Linked DNA regions of Kluyveromyces lactis. The protein of the gene in region 3 purifies or fractionates together with the protein of the main gene of each other region. This does not show direct contact. Links are inferred from orthologs where the notes say so. Each region holds a gene or a part of one and is shown on either strand. Other genes may lie near its edges.

Region 1 (4,219 bases), on a different chromosome or scaffold from region 3:
GTTTATCCTACAATACAAGAAAGCGTGGTGATAGATTAGGGTTCTTGGATAGAAGAAGTAACGAATGATTAATAAGCAAGATTTTAATTCTGCAAGGCAATACACGAACCTACCCATCACACTTATTTATTAACAACACACACAAACACTGCAATGACTAAATGAAACAATCTAGAAATATATCCTGTTCTTTACTGAAAGATTCCTCATGTAAATAGTGCTTAAAGAAAGTGAAATAAAATACAAACTATTGATATCAATATTATAATAAAGTTTAGCTAGGTAAGAAAAGATAGGCCGAGCACATAAGAAAGATACGGATTTTTTTGATTGAGAAACCACGCAGTCACACCGGTTGAAATTGAGGAATATAAAACAAACAACAAATGAACTGAACTTCTAGGATGTCTAACGAATAGATTCGAAAGCAGAGACAATCCGTTCGTTATTAAGGAAGACTTTATAATTTCTCAGTCCAGTAATTTCAAGAACGCAATATCTTATTTGGATTCTTCAAAATAGTCAGCCATTTCCTTGTCTAAGTCTTCCAAAGACTTCTTTTCTGGCTTAGCTCTTTTCTTTTGCTTAGCAGCAATGGCTTTCTTGTTTGGACCGGCTGGTTTCTTCTTAGGTTGAGGCTTTGTTGGAGCTGCCTTCTTGTTTGGCGCGGCAGCCTGAGCATTCTGTACAGGGCGGATTCTGTCCAATAATGTCTTTCTGCTTGGATCGACAATCAACGTCAATCTCAATTTGGATTTACCACCATCAATTGGTGCGTTGTGGAATTTCTTTACAGCTAAGTTAGCTTGTTCTGCGTTCTTAAAGGTAATAGTGGCCATACCAGTGGAGTTACCCCTTTCGTTGTAACTCAACAAAGCTTTTTGGACACCACCGACTTGATGGTTGAAAAATTCCTAGTAATAATAAGGGAGCAAAATTTTTGTTAGTGAAACTATTCATAGATAACTGAAAACAGCGGAGTCTTCAATGAATAGTCCTGTAGGAAATCATTCATGTTTACAATTCATCATACATGTACGACCCGGTCAATTCTGTCACGATATGAAGTTAACTCTTAAACAGTAAAATATACCACAAATGGGTTTCATTAGGTTTCGATTTGAAGGTAGGATCTAACATGACAACCAACAAAAAGTAAGTATACTATAACTTTTCTCTTTTCTATTTTTTTTCTTGGAGAGTAAATCTGGAGTCAGTGATGAGATCTCAACCAGACAAGATAGAACATGTTCATAGCAGAATGACAAATGAAAATCGATTTCAAATCCAGCATACCCATCTCGATTTATTACATTCATTGAAACTTGCTTTTCAGTGGCGTTTCAATTTTTGCCAATTTTTTTGAAGTTGTCAAACACGACGACCTTGCTAAAAATGTCGCACTATCTTGAAGATTGAGGCATCAAGCTAAACACACACCAAGGAAGAGGTCAAACTTAATTGTTCCTACAAGGTGTACACCAAGTAATCTTCTTCAAATTCCCAGTTCTTTGCAAAGAGTTAGAAAAAAGAGAATAATACACTGGGCATCATTAAAAAATAGATGCATTGCCAAATGTAATAAATGGTAACAGAAACTCCAGTGACACATAATGTCACAAGAATAGAAGATATGACGAGAAAAAATAGATATACTTCATCTTTTCGGCATTTCCCAATCGTGATTCACTACCGTTTCTCCATCAAATAAAATGTCGTAAATAAACGAAGTTCAGTGCATAATTTTGATGAAAAGTTCTGTCAACTTAGAGGAGAAAAACGGAAAGAAATCACAAAGGAAGGCTTGCTGAAAAGCGAAACCCAGCCAATTGGATAGCTAATTTCGTTTTGTTATATTTCATTAGCTCAATAAAAACTAACTCTGAAATAAATTATTCACACATCAATATCAGACCTCAAAAAAGGTATCGATCGACCGTTTCTTCTTAATCAAATACACGGGAATGTATGATCGTATAGTAAACATAAGGATGGAATTCCACAGGATATATCCGTTGTAAACTTAAATTAACCGCAAGTCTTATTGCAGTTTGATCCGATTTGTTTTCGCAATCAGTACAGTAGCATCTCGACAGTCCTTTTCATTAGAAAAGAACCTACTAAGAGGCCATGGCTAAAATGGGACATACTTTAACAGCGTCTTGGTTAATGTCTCTTGGCAAACCCTCGACATTAACTCTAGTAGAAATAGGAGCTCTTAGCAAAGCTGGCACTAGGGCAGCAGCAGAAGCAGCCTTCTTTGGAACTCTAGAAGGACCGGCACCTGTTCTGGTACGGCTCTTGTTGACTTGCTTAGAAACCTTCTTTGGCCCGGCCTTGTTGTTTCTTCTGGCATGCTTGGCTGAGCCAATAATTTCATCTAATGATTGATCTAGAGCAGACATTGCTTATGAGAGTGTAAAAAAAAGAATCTGATGGGTAGCTGATTCGAAGGAAATAACTTATAAAGTTGCTTGCCTTATGAAGTAGAAACAAAGAGAAATTTGAAGAACAACTTTCATGGAAAAAGGGAAAAAAATTCCAATGGGCAAAAATCTATGGCTCCTTTTATACAAAAAAAATCAAATATCAAACTTTTTGTCCAATTCTTTTCAAGAAAATCAAAACCAGCACGATCAACAAAAGAGGGTAACGATTGTCATTTTCTAAGATCTGCTGCATATGTAACGGTGTACTTACTTCATTCCTGACATGATAAAGATTTTTGTGAATAACAGTCATTTCAAAGACTAAAGATAATGCTCCATAATTTCGTCGAGGGGACTCATTTGTTTCCAACAAACATCGTTTAGCTTTATTTCGTGAATTGTAAGGCCGCAACAACTGAAAAGTAAAATCCGTTGATATATAAGATAGACAGCTATTCGATCAATCTTATGTTCAAATGGATCGCTTCCGCAGATAGACCCAAGTAGGCTGTGGCGGGAATCTTACAACGCTTAGTATCCAAACATTCTTCTATGCCTTCCTGTCATAAGCGAATAGAAGCCGAATTGAATCCATTTACAGTCCGGGTAATTTCATGATTATTTCACTGTTAGCGATATTATTTGGTTCATTTTATTTGATCGGTTCAAAAAGAAAGACGATGATGGGTCAAAATCGTGCTATTTTACAGCGAAATGATACAGACGTCTCACTGGCAAGTTAAATCTCCGAACGACGGTCAGGTGGTAAACGGACTGACTCTGTAATTAAAGAGGAAAGACCGCGCGTTCACCAGTTATGAAACACTCTTCCAAGGTAAAAACAGGATTGAACTTTCACCTACGACAATCTCAAAATGAACACACACACTCTAACCCCAATGTTCAATTTATAATAGCGGCAGAATTTGATAACAAATCTGGGCCGATAATAAAGCATCAATATCCAAAGACAATCCCTGGTTTTAAAACTATTGGGAGTGATTCCACTTGTTCTCATTTGGCCAGTTTGATGATACCGAATAGTGTGGAGAACCATCCAGGTAAACCAGATTTCACTGTTTTTGTCTTATACAAGAATCAAAACGTTTACCAGTTGTTTCCTGTATCCAAAAATAAGACTAAAGGTACTGACTTGGATTCCTCACTGATAATTGAAGAGGAAGACTTTGAAGAAGAACAAGAAAATGGACTGCGAAGTGGTAAGATTGGATCAATTAGAGATGATAGGCATTTAGAGGAAACTGAGCCACCATTATTTTTCTTAAGTGTCGTGAACACGTTTTTAGATAATTCAAATGATCGCGGTGCTTATATAAAAGCCATTGCACTGGGTACTACTATGACAAACTTTTACACATTTAAACCATTGTTAACAATGGTGCTTGATCACTACATGACATCGAATAACAACGATATTAAAATACTTATAGACTGTTTTGACATGATTAACAGTCTTGATCTCTCTTTGGTCATAAGATTCCATTCCAATGTTGTACTACAAAATATTCTAAACTCTATCAATGACGAAGAAATTACATCCAAAATATTTGATGCAAACGAAAACTCTTTGCCCAATATACTTAGGGTTAATGAGCTGCCCAAAAAAGACAAGTTCGGAAATGAGATTCAATTTAAAAACAGGATTCTTGAATATAAGTTCTCTACTTTCCGTCCCAAAGTTCTACCTGCTTATTTTACGAGGATTCCTTTGCAAATTGATCTAATAAAATATGATGCCATAAAAATAGATACGAATTATAATAATTCAA
Region 2 (2,696 bases), on a different chromosome or scaffold from region 3:
TACAACTCAATTGTATATTGTCAGCCATTACAGACAGTAGGACAGCGCCGATTATATTTTGAGTAAAATCACTGAGTAGTAATGTTTTTATTATTATCAGATATAGATCCTGTATACTGGTTTGATGTAGTTGTACATGAATAGTAAGCATTGATAATGGGCAATGGATAGTACATAGGTATCCTTACAAAAAAATGCAAAGAATTCCCACCTTTTGATTTATTCTGTTCCCGTTGAATGCAAATGCTGAGCGTGTGTGAGGAACGGTTTGTATGAGGTTTGAAACGTTAAACGTAGAATAATAAAAGAATAGATAGAAAAATTAGAACAACCATAACATCCATTATGTGAAAGTTATTGCTGGTTTAGCCTTGCAAAAATTTCAGGATATCAAAAGTTCTTGTTCATTATTGTGTAAGTCCCTTTAAAATTGATTTGTTTAATCGAATAGACCGAAACCCATGTCGTCATCAGATTCTTCCTTTTCGGATTCTGGAGCTTCTTCAGCAGCAGCTTCGGAAGCACCGGAAGCAGCAGCACCAGAGGCAGCAGCACCAGAAGAAGCTGGGACAGAGGCCAACTTTTCGGTACCTTCAGCGATAAGTTCTTCAACAGACTTACCTTCCAAAGCGGACAACAAAGAAGAAACCTTTTCTTCTTCAACTTCGATTCCAACGGATTCTAAAACAGCCTTGACATTGTCAGAGGATGGGGTGTTGCCAGCGGCGTTTAATAACAAGTAAGCGGCCAAGTACTTCATCTTTAAGCGTTCAATATTTGTCGAGGTTTCTGGGGAGAATTACGTGAACTATACCAAGAATTAAACAGTATTATGCCTTTAACAATTAAAATATAAAGGCACTTAAACCTTAAACGTGTATTGTAAACCTCTAATCAATTGACAAAAATGTTGAAGATTCGTCAAGGTAGAGAGAATTACCGGGCGCCATTGGAAAGCGTTGAAGCTTTCCACTGTGAGAGTACTAACTCTCGCACTGATTCCATCGAATTGCAGATTGGGAACCAGATTCCTCGATTTTCCAGTGCTAAAGAAAATCAGTGGAATTGGTCGCCTAGATGTTTTCCTTTTTCGGACGAAAAACTTAAAAGATATGGATGGTAAGAAAACAACAAAGTGCGGTGTACATATAGTAATAGGATTTAAACGCATTTTTATATGTGGTGTATTGTGGTAACAGTCCCTTATTTTCATTTTGAGTCTCACCACTTACTAATTTTTTCGCACCGAACTTACAATCTGTAGGCAGACTCGCCAATTTCCTCCTACGCTCCGGTTCCACTCCCTCCCTGTTCTCCACCCTGTTGGGTACACGGAGTGCAAGCTTACTGGCCTGCCTACCGGTAGCAAAGCTTCCTGCCTAACCTTACCGTCTCCCCCGTCCAACCCATGCTTCCAGCTGGGAATAGGGCCCATCTTCTCCTCCGCTATTGTCTCTGCGAACAGCTTGGTTCCCTAGTATGGGTCCTACCATTGAATGATTTTTTTGGTGAACTTTTCAGAATCATTGCGAAGTTTGAGGATATCGACCTTTTTCACCAATACGAACAATCTCAGTTTGAATTTAATGCTTTTTTTGATAGTTACAGCTTTTGTTGATTTCACATAGAGATTTTAGTTGATATTGCAATTCATTTCACGTATTCTTTTTATAATAGAAGGTTTCAATAGAGCTTGGTTTAATTTTCCTTTTCCTTTTTGTTGTTTAGCTTAACTCACCGAACCATACAATAAGAAAGCAAGCCAACATGTCTGAAGCCGCTGCTCCAAGAAAGAGATCCTTCAAGACCTACTCTTACAAGGGTGTTGACCTAGAAAAGTTGTTGGAAATGCCAACTGAAGACTTCGTTAAGTTGGCCCCAGCCAGAGTTAGAAGAAAGTTCGCTCGTGGTTTGTCTGAAAAGCCAGCTGGTTTGATGAAGAAGTTGAGAGCTGCTAAATTGTCTGCTCCAGAAAATGAAAAGCCAGCTGTTGTCAGAACTCACTTGAGAAACATGATCATCGTTCCAGAAATGATTGGTTCTGTTGTTGGTGTTTACAACGGTAAGGTCTTCAACCAAGTCGAAATCAGACCTGAAATGGTCGGTCACTACTTGGGTGAATTCTCTATCACCTACACTCCAGTTAGACATGGTAGAGCTGGTGCCACCACCTCTCGTTTCATCCCATTGAGATAAACTACTTTATTGATAAGAACTATTGCAAGAACTCCAAGAAAAAATTTCCCCTTGACAAAATACGCTTCTCTGTTTTTTTTTTGAAGTTCGGACACTTAAGAAGTTTTGGGCATTGATATAGTATCCAGATTCCCTCGTATTATCATGTGGTACCGAATTTTAAATCTGCGATTATATCAATGATATACGCAGAATTATTCCAGAAAACTTAAAAATTGATCCAGTTGTCATCCTCAAATGCCCTTTTAATTTGGACATCAAATCATGATATCGATCCCTTTGTTTCTTATAGAAAAATATCATCGGGTTGGATACGGTTTATTATAAGTTTTATTTCTATCCTGGTGTCTTAATAAAATAAAGATATTTCGCTTCACATTGGAATCTGACCAATTCATCACAACCTTTCCTCACTTCACAAGGACTACTATTTTTGGGGTTTCTTTCTCATCTTTTTATTATTTACGCTTTTATCTCTACCAACGTCCAACAAATGTTTA
Region 3 (3,959 bases):
CGTTATGGTACGAGACATCTAACAGTATCCGGAATATTCGCCGGATGCTCTGACTCTTGATTAGCATCAAATCGTCTTGGTCCGTGAGTGTGTAACTGTAGTGACAGTTATCACAAAGACTCTTCCGTCTCGTCTCACCATGATTCGCAGAAGATTGACGCTTTTTGTGATCTGGGGCTACCAAAGAACTCGAATCACCAGAGGTCTTAATGACAAAGTAATCTATGCCGTTAGTGGCGAAGAACTCTTTGAAGAAATTACTCGGGATTTGACCACCGATGAATATGATCGTATTTAAATTCAAAGTCTCCAAAAATGATAGGTTAATGGTCTCAAGTTTACTGCATCGATAGATACCTTCCTCGGGAATCCCGAAATTCGCTGGAGGAACTAACATAGCTGATGGTTTCTATGACCCTAGAGTTGTATCTCCTCACCTGTCCCCTTGGCTTCAGCACTGATCTTTCTGCCAATCACCTTTTCTATCATTGTGATGTGCACATGAAGATCTTTGTTCCTTTAAATTTCATCAAGCTCGAACCAACTTCAAAGGGTTGTGACTTAGAGAAAGAAGGAACAAAAAGGGAAGACAACAATAATGTTTCGGTGATATGCTTATAGTGAGAGGGAAATATATAAAATGTACATGTGGATAGGTTACATACGGATATATTTAACAAGTTTTCCCCGACTCATAGTTTCATCGTTTTAGTTAATTTTTTTTATGGTTTTTTTTTTTATAATATGGTTTTATCACGCCTTTCATTTAGGTTTGAGATGATTTGGGTTTACGATTAAAGTACATGAGATTAGTTCTTTGATTTGTCATTACGGGATTTCACTGAGCTCTTTTTAAGCGTGGAATTACCTTGGTTTAACGAGAGTTCTGGTGATGGGGAATTATGTGAACTGTTGCCGTTTGTGTTGTGATTAGTGTTACCAGAATTACTATTACTATTGTTGCTGTTGTTCTTGGCTTTGTACTTAGAAGCTTTATCGCCCTTTGGGTTTAAATTAATAACTCTTTCACCGACTTTTAAATGTTGAGCATCGATGGCAGCGTCTCTTGCAGGTTTTTCTCTGAAATCAACCACAGCGAACGAATCTTGGAATGAGGTTTTTACGACATCACCGTATTCTTTTATTAGAGCTCTTTCAAGTTCGGATGCGGTCAACCCATTTGTGTTACCCACGTATACTGGGTAGAAACCGCTGCTGTTTTGGATGATAACGTCGCCTATTGGTTTCGATTGCTGCTTGCTTTTCTTGTTTGACTTGGTGAATCCGTTTGGAGGTGGACTTTTAGACTTCTTTTGTGGAAGATCTACCTTGATGTAGTTTGTAGTTAGTTTAGATGTCTTGTTGAGTTTGCCTGCCCAAGTCATTTTCACTGGTTCAGCCTTTGGGGTGACTTCTGTTTCAGGAACCTCTTGTGGGGGCACCGATTCAGAACGGGTTGTCGTTGAGGTTGGGGTGGCTGATGCTGAAGTCGCTTGCTCTTTTGGTTGTGCTTGTGCTTCGTCTTCCTTGTCTTCTTTTTCTTTTTCTGCAATAGCAGCAGGAGCAGTAGCTGGCGCAATCGCCTCATTTTCCTTAGGTTTAGTTTTATTTACTGAAACGGCTTGGGGTTGTTCCACTTTTGTTTCCGTTGGAGCAGTAGAGGGCTGTTGCTTCTCAGTTGGAATTGGCTTGACAATCTCAACCGGTTTCGCTGCTGCCTTTACCACTACTGGAGAAACAGATACAGGAACAGAAACAGGAGCTGCGTCCCCGTTGACATTTGGCTTCTCATTCTCAGCTTCAACAACAACAGCAGATGGTGGTGATACTGGCTGGTCTGGGTTCACTAATGGAGCAAGGTCAGGAATGAAACGAATGATATCGTTTTTCAAATCGTAGACTTTACTGTTATACTCTGCTGGTTCCAGGATAAAGCACTGACAAAATCTGTAAGATGGTGAATCCGTCCAGCATAGCTCCCCTAATATCAATATCAGAATCGAAGAACTCTCGTACCCAGTAGATTGCACATCACACGAATCAATCTTGACCTTCAAATCCTGTACACGCTTGCTGTTTCTGGTAAAGAAATTGTTGATGTTATCCTTACCAATCAACTTGACGGTGTTTAAATAATCTTTGTCATGCTTGATAGGTTCATTATAATTCACATGGGTCAATTCCGCCGTGGTAGAATATAAACACGACAATTTCGATGGATCATTATGCATACGTTCATAGTACGTCCTTAGGAACGCATATCCGATCTCTTTCACATCGTAAGTGGTCATATTTTCCAAACCAAATGTGATTGTATCAAATTAATCTAAACAGGAAAAAACACACTGGTTCTTGTAAAAGAATTCAACTATTCTTTGATAACTCTCAATTTCAAACCGATCGCGGGTATCAAAAAATCAAATTGGAATGCTAAAGTGTATGAAATGAATGCAATACAGTCAATCGTTGTCAATCAGAAAGACCTTTGAATGAATTAAAAATAAAACTGTCAAACAAAAAAAAAAAAAAGAAGGGAAAAGCACGCTCTAATAACGCTCTAACAACGTTTTAATCCAAGTGTATTAACGGTGGATATTCAAGCAGGAAAGTATAGGGTATACTAGAATACAATAACAAAAAAGTATTAATTTCCTATGGGTGCTTTTTTCCAGACTCACGGGAAATTTCAGCACTACGAACACCGTATATGTGCCTCACGCTTCAAACTTATCGCTAAAGATTAAAGTCTGGTTTCTAATGAATGCATGAAAACCGATAAGCGAACCAAATAGACACCCTAACAACAAGAAACGCCCCTCACAAGCAAAGTATGTGCATGTTTGCATCTAGTGATTATATGTAAAGAGTCAATTTTCAAAATTTTTTAATGGAAAACTCGTCAATCATCTTATGAAATCATGCCTCACGAGATGCCAGGTGAATGAAGTACACAGGTTGCGCTCTTGCAACCTGTGGGTTTCGCACTGGTCAGCATCAGTTCAGTTCAGTGACGGTGGCTAGTCAGCCACCTTTTATACCCTATTTTAAGAATGATTGTGTATGTATATATATATATTCACATACATAAATGCATTATTGATGATACTCTATATGAAAGGCTGGCACATAAAAATCACATATATTACTCCTGTGTGATTCCGTAGATCAGGTTCTTGTAGTAACTGAAATCTGTTCCATTGCGTAGTTTGTACAAAGACAATTTACCGAGTTGGGTGTATGCCAATAGTGCCAAGAGACTTTGTCCCGCTGCGCTGCTGAACAATGGGAAGATCGGAATCCCCAACTCGTCAGCCAGTAGTTCTAGTGTATATTGCTGTTGTTGGTTTTGTTGCTGTTGCTGTTGACTTTGTAATAGATGTAATGGTGGTGGATGTGGGTGTTGTTGCGTTACCTCATGAACTAACTTGTTAATTAGGTTCAAATCGTACGACGTTGGTATGTATTTCTGAACCCACCATTCGAAGTCCTCTTTGTTGTTGGGCATGTTTGTGTTCATGAGCCTGTTGATTAAGAACCCGTAATCGTATGCTGCATGGTAACTGATCCACGTGACCTCATCGTTCAACAATAACCCGGAATCCATCATCAACTGAGCAAACTCGTCGAAATCAACACCGTTCTGTTGATGTCTCTCCAAGATGACACCGGATTTCTTTAATAGTTCTAACGATTCCGAATTCACGGTCTCCTTTGTTACGTCGAAATGGAAGTTGAATTGCCATGTGGATGGGAAGTTGTCTGGTTTATTCCCCTGTAAATCGCTTAACGAAAGTCCAATCTGGATTGGGGTTAGTAGATCCACGTTGGATCTCATCGTCTGGTAATGGTAATCTGTCTTTGAGCGGAAATTCCCAATGGGTCTCGCTATCGTACCGACAAACTCGGTGCTTATAGAAATAACTTTGTATTGCTCGATCATTTTACGGATTATGGCAAAC

The links. Proteins that work in one complex are often made in the same cells at the same time.
Region 1: the proteins of BRE5 (region 3) and YRA1 purify together in Saccharomyces cerevisiae (affinity purification with mass spectrometry; 3 studies listed by BioGRID). This does not show direct contact. The link is inferred for Kluyveromyces lactis from reciprocal best matches to the Saccharomyces cerevisiae genes BRE5 and YRA1.
Region 2: the proteins of BRE5 (region 3) and RPS15 purify together in Saccharomyces cerevisiae (affinity purification with mass spectrometry; 3 studies listed by BioGRID). This does not show direct contact. The link is inferred for Kluyveromyces lactis from reciprocal best matches to the Saccharomyces cerevisiae genes BRE5 and RPS15.

The regions. Positions count from the first base shown.
Region 1 is NC_006041.1:255,145-259,363, reverse strand, and holds YRA1 (RNA-binding protein YRA1), read right to left. Parts: upstream 2,406-4,219; coding exon 2,151-2,405; intron 915-2,150; coding exon 501-914; downstream 1-500. Other genes in the region: COI1 (Coi1p), read left to right, coding at 1-68; AFI1 (Afi1p), read left to right, coding at 3,247-4,219. UniProt on the Saccharomyces cerevisiae protein: RNA-binding RNA annealing protein. May have a role in pre-mRNA metabolism. Component the TREX complex, which operates in coupling transcription elongation to mRNA export.
Region 2 is NC_006042.1:739,161-741,856, reverse strand, and holds RPS15 (40S ribosomal protein uS19), read left to right. Parts: upstream 1-1,767; coding exon 1,768-2,196; downstream 2,197-2,696. Other genes in the region: RPP2A (ribosomal protein P2 alpha), read right to left, coding at 440-760. UniProt on the Saccharomyces cerevisiae protein: Component of the ribosome, a large ribonucleoprotein complex responsible for the synthesis of proteins in the cell.
Region 3 is NC_006039.1:1,666,505-1,670,463, forward strand, and holds BRE5 (Bre5p), read right to left. Parts: upstream 2,292-3,959; coding exon 810-2,291; downstream 1-809. Other genes in the region: OCA4 (Oca4p), read right to left, coding at 1-397; CCR4-NOT core DEDD family RNase subunit POP2, read right to left, coding at 3,143-3,959. UniProt on the Saccharomyces cerevisiae protein: Has a role in de-ubiquitination. In conjunction with UBP3, cleaves ubiquitin, leading to the subsequent mono-ubiquitination of sec23.